Cricetulus griseus: one gene and its partner. The protein of the gene in region 1 purifies or fractionates together with the protein of each later gene. This does not show direct contact. Links are inferred from orthologs where the notes say so. Each region holds a gene or a part of one and is shown on either strand. Other genes may lie near its edges.

The links.
Region 2: the proteins of Fbxl13 (region 1) and Cetn2 purify together in Homo sapiens (affinity purification with mass spectrometry; 3 studies listed by BioGRID and IntAct, counting the BioPlex papers as one, with this or other methods). This does not show direct contact. The link is inferred for Cricetulus griseus from reciprocal best matches to the Homo sapiens genes FBXL13 and CETN2.

Annotation. Positions count from the first base shown.
Region 1 is NW_023276806.1:173,022,856-173,026,613, forward strand, and holds part of Fbxl13 (dynein regulatory complex subunit 6), read left to right. Parts: intron 1-498; coding exon 499-662; intron 663-3,168; coding exon 3,169-3,370; 3' UTR 3,371-3,758. UniProt on the Homo sapiens protein: Substrate-recognition component of the SCF (SKP1-CUL1-F-box protein)-type E3 ubiquitin ligase complex.
Region 2 is NC_048604.1:2,887,519-2,891,441, reverse strand, and holds the start of Cetn2 (centrin-2), read right to left. Parts: upstream 3,117-3,923; 5' UTR 3,072-3,116; coding exon 2,970-3,071; intron 2,965-2,969; exon of another isoform or gene 2,834-2,964; intron 2,815-2,833; exon of another isoform or gene 2,686-2,814; intron 969-2,685; coding exon 810-968; intron 532-809; coding exon 403-531; intron 1-402. UniProt on the Homo sapiens protein: Plays a fundamental role in microtubule organizing center structure and function. Required for centriole duplication and correct spindle formation. Has a role in regulating cytokinesis and genome stability via cooperation with CALM1 and CCP110.

The DNA of each region.
Region 1 (3,758 bases):
TTAATTACTAAAGAAAAGGTGACTGTTTCTCATCCAGACCAGAGGATGCTTAAGTGAAAAAGAACAATGAAATCACGAATCCTCTGGTGTCACTTGAGGCAGGTATTTTCCTCTTCCATCTTATTTGAAAGTAATTAAACCACAGACTTGGCTTATCATGGGATAAACTTGGTGAAAGAAAGCCTGACAGGGTAAGAAGATGTCATGAAAGGGATGCTGCAATTATGGGATCATGTCCGTATAAGAAGCAGCAGAGGCTGGAGTTCTCTATGCCACTAACAGCATGATACGAGGCAGACATCTGCAAATCTGTACCTCACCATATGTGTAGCCATCTTGTTCTTGGATTTCCCAGGCTTCAGAATGTTAAGAAATAGGTGCTTGATGTATGAGTTACCTAATCTACCATATGTAAGTACAGCACCCTAAATTAAAATACTGCTCCCCTGTGAGACAGAGTTGCTCAATAACTGTTACTTACTTTGGCTGCGTGTGCAGATTACTGATGGAGGGTTGGAGACATTATCTGCAAAGTGCCATTATCTGCACATTTTGGATATCTCTGGCTGTATCCTACTTACAGACCAGATCCTTCAGGACCTTCGAGTTGGCTGCAAACAACTCCGGATCCTCAAGATGCAATTCTGCAAGTCCATCTCTGTGTAAGTAGGCAGTTAGATATGAAGGCCTTGGAAATGCCAGGATAGCACGGCATGTGGCTATGCCATTCGTAACCTGTAACCATTTGTATTTTCACTAATTGAAACCAAACCAACATTCTGAGTTGAACCTGGGATGCCCTTCTAAAATTAACTTCATAGTTTTAGATTCCTTTCATAGAGGCCTTTCACTTTCAGCACCTTCCTCCCTATGGTCAAGTAGGCAACCAAATTCTGCCCCTTGTCACCTAGCTCTAGCTCTGCCACTGAACTGTGGTCCACTCAGTCTACCTCCCTGAGAAAAGCAGCCCACTCACCCCAGACTGGAAGAGCCTGTGAGCAGGGGAAGCGGGCCTCCTTCTGAAGCCTCACTGCTCACTACTGAGACCACAGACATACTAATTAGTTCTTTCACTGAAGCTGCTTGTGGGTGGAAGGGTGAAACAGCTGGGGTAAGTGGTACTGGAAGCCAAAAAAAAAAAAAAAAAAACAGCAAAGAGAAATGCATATTCCACCGTGCACTTCCTATGCTGTGGATAAACACTTGGCTTACTATCGCTCTTTTCCTGTGACACTGCCTGCCACAGCAGTGACCAAACCCAGCCCACTTCTCTGTACTGGGTCAGCAGCAACTTCCTTCTCAGGATTTTTCTTAGTCCCCTACTATTAAGTTTTTAATACCATAATTTTTACAGACCCTCTTGTCATGTGACAAGATGGATAGCTAATATATTGCACAATGCACTCATAACTTTTACAGTCTAAAACTTTTAAAAATTCAAGGACCACTAAATTTACTCTAGCTTGTAGCTGAATGAAGAACCGTATTAACAGCCCACATGTTACACCTTCCCAAACTGAGCAATGAGTACTTAGCTTCATATCAACTAGTCACAATTCTTTAAAACCAGTGCTTTCAGAAACCACAGGTAACATATAAGTTGGTCAACTTTCAAGTCCTTTGCTACCTAAACATGCATAACCTTTCCCTGAAAGTCAAGGACACCGCTGTCTTGGAATATAGTGTCCTTGTCTCGAGTCAATGCCAGCAGCCTTGGGCGTTTTTCTTCATTATTTTAGTTTTCACTGTAGAATACTTAGTTTTCATTATAAATGAAAACTAGTTTTCATCTTACCTACCTAGTGAAGTTTATTCCTAGGCTGTGTGTGTGTGCACATACCTGCACACATGTGCATGTGTGGTTTGGATTTTTTATTTTTAGTTATCATGAATGAGATCATTCTCTAATTATATATATATATATATATATATTTATATATATATATATATATATATACACACTCCTGGGCTTTGGATGTTGATTTTTGGTAACTGGATATTTTACTGGAAGTGTTTTAGATTTAAGAGTTTTTGAGAAGAGTCACTAGTGTCTTTTAGTGCATGGTCATATTGTCTACAGATAATTTGATTCTCCTTTTGTCTTTGTATTCCTTTCATCTCTTTTTCTTGCCTTATTGTTTTGGCTAAGAATATAAACATAATAATAAGAGTGAAGGGGTGGACACTATTGTCTTACTTCTGCTTTTAGAGGAAATGTGTCCCCCAATTAGTGTGTTTGTTATAGGTTGTCATATATAGTCCTTATTATGTTGAGGTATGCTCCTTCTGTCCTTAGTGCTTTTTGGTTTTGAGTTTTTATCATAAATGGATATTTATTGCTGTCAAAGGCCATTTATTCACCTACTAAAATAATCATGTGATTTCTGAGTCTCTATATGCCCTGTATTACATTTACTAAAATAATCGTGTGATTTCTGAATGTCTTTATGCCCTGGATTACATTTACTGGTTTGCATGTGTTATGCCGTCGCTACATCGCTGCCATGACACCACCTTGATCATAGTATGTGGACTTTTTAATGTGTTGAGGGATTTGACTATAAGTATTATGTTGAGAATTTTTGCATCTCTGTTCATTGAGAGGAAATGTGTGTATGTCTTCATGTATGCACGTGCATATGTATGTTCTTTGCTTCCTTATTTCTTCCTAAGTAATTCTAACAATATTTTTAATCATTTAATCATTGAGTCACAAGAAAAATATATACTGGAGACAAAACTACACAGGCTTTTAGAAAGTTCCTAGAGTTCGTCATACATCCACAGGGGTCTGTGAACTCTGGCGATGAGGTTCATTCTGACACATTAGTCTTCACAGGGAGGGTGGGTCAGGTTGTTCCTTCATCAAATAAACTGGAGCTGCATCAGGCTGAGCGCTTACTCAAAAGTACTGTAAATGACTTCAGTGTTCCTGCTCCTGGGCATTTATTAGAACATACAGCTTGGTAAGCCCTAACTGGCTGGACTACAGATACTTTTGCCTGGGGTGCCTGATATTTGCAAATTTCCCAACTTTCTCTAACAGGAAGCAAAGCTCTTCATTGAATGTGACTAGTGATAGTAAGTTTTGAATTCCAAACTCGGTCAAATTTGAAAACTGGAGGGATTCCTTCTGCAGTTCACTAACGCTCAGCACTGTTGTTACAGGGCAGCAGCTCACAAAATGTCCTCTGTGGTCCAACATCAGGAATACAGCTCTCGCAACCCTCCAAGATGGTTTGGCTATGACTCTGATGGCAATCGTCTTGCAGAGACTCATCATAGAATGCAACTCAGAAAAAAGACAGAACTGTTAGTCAAAGACACATTCAGCAGTGACGAGGAAAGTTCAGACTCCAACCTCAAATAGGGAAAACAAAACTTCTGGAACTGATAATGTTTCTTCACGCGATGTTAAGTTGCTGTCCCAATAACAACAAAAAAAGCAGCATGCCTCTGCTTCTTACTTCAAAAGCAAACATCACCTTTATCTAATGAGACTCCAAGGCAACCCGATAAAGTTATTTTTAAACATCTATTTACTTAATGTGAGTCTGTGTGTGTAGGAGTCCACAAAGGCCTGAAACTGGTGATATAGTTGACTGTGAGTGTTATGTAGGTGCTGGGAACCAAACCTGTGTCTTCAAGCCAGTAAAGGAATAACCACTAGGCCATCTCTCCAGCTTCAAACAAACTAACTGTGGACAAGATGATCAGATCTAATGTTACAATGTAGGGAACAGATGGGAAAGGCACAC
Region 2 (3,923 bases), on another chromosome or scaffold:
ATCTATTCTAAAGCTCAAAATTCTTGTGCCTGTGATTGTACATACTGAATTGTCAAAATGAGAAGCATTTGTCCGAAAAATGTCACAATACCTGATTTATTGTATGCTAATCTAATTTTAATAATATTAAAATAAAAATGAGAAGCATATGAAAATCTCTGTGTTAACATGTTTTAATGCTTGTGATTATCATATGGTCATATGAGACAAGGTAAAATGATTTCTGTGATACCGTAACCCTAAAGAAAGCCAAATGAAAATTAGGGATCCTCTTAATTATAAATACAATGCTCAATCATGTGAATGGTATAGATTTTATTGGATGAAGTTCTTTTTATGTCTAGATTCCCATGTATCTACCATTATGGATGGGAAGTATGCTCATTATCTCAACTAACTTACCATTTTCTGAGTCATCACTGTCAAAAAGTCACTGAAGTTCATTTTTCCTGTCCCTTCCTTATCAATTTCACTTATCATCTTTTTGATTTCTTCTTTCTTAGGTTCAAAGCCCAGAGCCCTCATTGCAACCTACAACGAAAACAGGATCATCTAAATAAACACATATAAATGATGTAGACGCAAAAATGGCTATTGATGATAATAACAAAATGGTGAAAATGATTAGGGAACACTGTAAAGCTGATTTAATTGATATTTGCAATCAACTTTTATCATTAGATCATTGTTTCAGGTTAAATATACACAGGGTACCTTTTTCTGTTACTTTTTACAGGGAGAAAGGTGATAGGTAAAAGACAAACAACAAGGAAACACAAGGCACCAAAACAGGAATGTGTGCAGCTTGCCTTTAGTTCCTTGATGTCTATAGTTCCAGTTCCATCAGCATCAAAGAGATCAAAAGCTTCCCGGATTTCCTGTTTCTGTTCTTCAGTCAGTTCAGGCTTAGGGCTCATTCTTTTTCTCTGGCCACTGGATGCCATGTTTGTCTTCTTAAAAGTAGAGGCCTTCAGACATTATACAAACACAGAAGCACAGTATTATAAGCCATAGTCCATATTTTATTTATGACAGTTCTAGACATTCATAAATTTTTCATTTATGCTCCACTCTGAGTAATGTACATGTCATTCTATAAACTTTCATAAGCTGGTGAGATGTCTTGCTGCCAAGCCTGACAACATAAGTGAGAACCCAGCACCTACATGGTAGAGAGAATCAACTCTTCCAAGTTGTTCTCTGACCTTCATGCTCAGACTGAGTCCCCTTCTCCCTTACACAAATAACAAGGGTTCAAACTAAGTAAAATTAACCCCAACTCTAAAAAAAATCCTGAGAAGAAAAATAGAAAAACTCTCTTTAATTTAAAACCCCTTTAATAAGTATATTTTAGCTTTTAGTATCACATTGTAAAAAACAGAAAATCAGCAATACACTAATTAAATGACTGTGTTCTACCATAACTGTAAATTAAAACATCATTTCTGTTAATAATGTAATGTCTCACATGATTAAATCCAATTATATTTCACTGGGGAGCCAGCAGCCTGAAGGGACTTTTCATTTTAAAATAATATATTAACATTTTTCTCCTTGTCCCTGTATAGATCAACATAGAGCAAATGAATATATGAATATGAATTTCTGGTGTTAACATGACCAGTTTTTCATCACAGGATATAATTCTGGCCTCCACTGTCTTCAAGTTTATACTACAGATAGTGTATTCATTTGTACCTTTAATAGACATGTCACTTTAGAAAATTAAATTTTTTAAATCAAGATTTCTTAAATCAAAAACTTTTAAATATAAAGAAGCAACATTAGCCAGGCGTTGGTGGCGTATGCCTTTAATCCCAGCACTCGGGAGGCAGAGGCAGGTGGATCTCTGTGAGTTCGAGACCAGCCTGGTCTCCAGAGCGAGTGCCAGGATAGACTCCAAAGCTACACAGAGAAACCCTGTCTCGAAAAAAAAACAAAAAAAAAAGCAACATTAAAAACTCTTTGAATGAGAATAACATGTTTACCTAAAGGTTCAACATGCTTGCATTTTCTCCTTCTTTTCTAAAGCTAGTAAACAGCAAATTTGAGACCATATCTGTTTGTAAGTAATAAACTTATAATTTTATTATGAATAGATTGTCACAAATTTCTATATTGTATATTCAATTAAAGCAACACGGTGTGGTTTAAGTTTTCATTACCAAAGATGAAAAAAAAGATCCCTCCTTGTTCTAATGCCACTGCTAACTCAGACAGCTGATTAATGGAAAAATAATTTATACCAACTGATTCTAAAGATCTGCCTAATAAATTGAGCAATAAGGAAGTTTCCTGGAAAGAACAATTAATGTTTCTATGAACCTCTGACTCTTTAAAAAATATTGATTTTAGAGGCCAGGAAACCCCTTATTTTTCATCCTGAAAGAAAGCTAGGTGAGAAACTAATTATGCATACTTAACAGATATCAACTGTCTGTGAATCTGGGGATCTGAGTTCTAGACATGTACTTAAAACATCAACTTAGGATGCTAGTTCCCAATCCATTTAGCACTTGGTGCCTTGTCTGCGAAGCTCAAAGCATCTCCTGAAAGCCTCAATACATTTGTGACCATCAGAACATAGTAAATCTCTTAGTACCACGCATAAACTTTAGCAGGTGGCAGCGGCCAGGACGCCTGTGTCTGTCTGAGGTCTGAGTCTGTGGGAAGCCTGAGTGTTACCTGCAACAGAATGGTCACCTGTGGTTCCAGGAAAACCAGCAGAGATCAACAGGCAGATTAGGGGTGACTGAAGGTGACTGGGGGCGGGGAGGGTTAAGTGTTGAAGCGCAGGCAGGCTAGCGGCCAGAGGCTGTACTTTTTCTCCTACCCTTCCGGCATAGAGCTCCAAGGAAGAACTAGTACGCCAAAGCGAAGAAGAATGCAGGAAAGGCTGCAGGGCCGCAATGAGGCCTAGGAAGGGCTCGGAGGCACTACGCAGGGTCCATGGAACGCCCAGCACTTACCATCGCCGAATGGACTCCTCCGCGACCGGTTGTTAAGGCAACGCGTACTCGCGGCCTCGGCGCCTTTCCCACTGCTCTGCGCGCGCGCGACCCGCTTCCCATTGGTTTGCGGACGGAGAAGGTGGGGCTAACCTGGCAAGGTCCGCCCCAGGGTAAGAGGGCAGTGTGGTGGCGGCAAGGACTGACGATCTCATTGGACAAAATCGCGCTGTGAGCGTCAACTGGCTGCGCCGGACCCGCGCTAGACCAATCAACGTGAGGAAGGAAGCTCGGCTGATCATGGGCCCATACCTCTCCGTAGAAAAGGGTGTCTGGTCTTGGGTTGAAGTTCGCTGGTTGCAGGTTGCTAACAAGCTGAAGTCGACTGCAAGAGTGCCTAAACCGGGTAAGAGTTGCGGCCTTGCTCATGGAGGCTGCTGCGTGTGAGCAAAAGAGCCGGGAGACAATGAGAGAGAATGGGTGGGATATGGTAAAACCCGAGATGGGAACACAGACTATCTATGGGGCCAGGAAAGATTTGGCCTAACGGGTTGCAGGGGTGACTATTTGGGGCAGCTGAGGCCTAGAAAGGGGAGTGGGCATGCTGACTGTTGTATCAGCGGTTCACGGGGCTGGGACTTAGAAACTCAATGCAGGCGAGTCTTTGTGAATGTAGTTCTCAAGATGATGAACTGGGGACTTTCTGGGTCTAGAAAAGTCATCAGAATGTGCCCTTTTAGAACGTGCAGACACAAAAGTCACATGAGAAGGACCATTCCTGGATGAAACTTCCTTCAAAGAAAAGCTACAGGGATTTTGGAAATGTTGGATGCATAGAGCATTAAACAGAAATGTGTGCAGGGGGGGGGGTGGTGTTACCTGGAACTGTTCCAGAAATAATGGAGGTCCACGGTCAGCTACAGCAGTACCTCAACCATCACACATGCTTCCCTCAAGGCATAGAATATTAGTTTG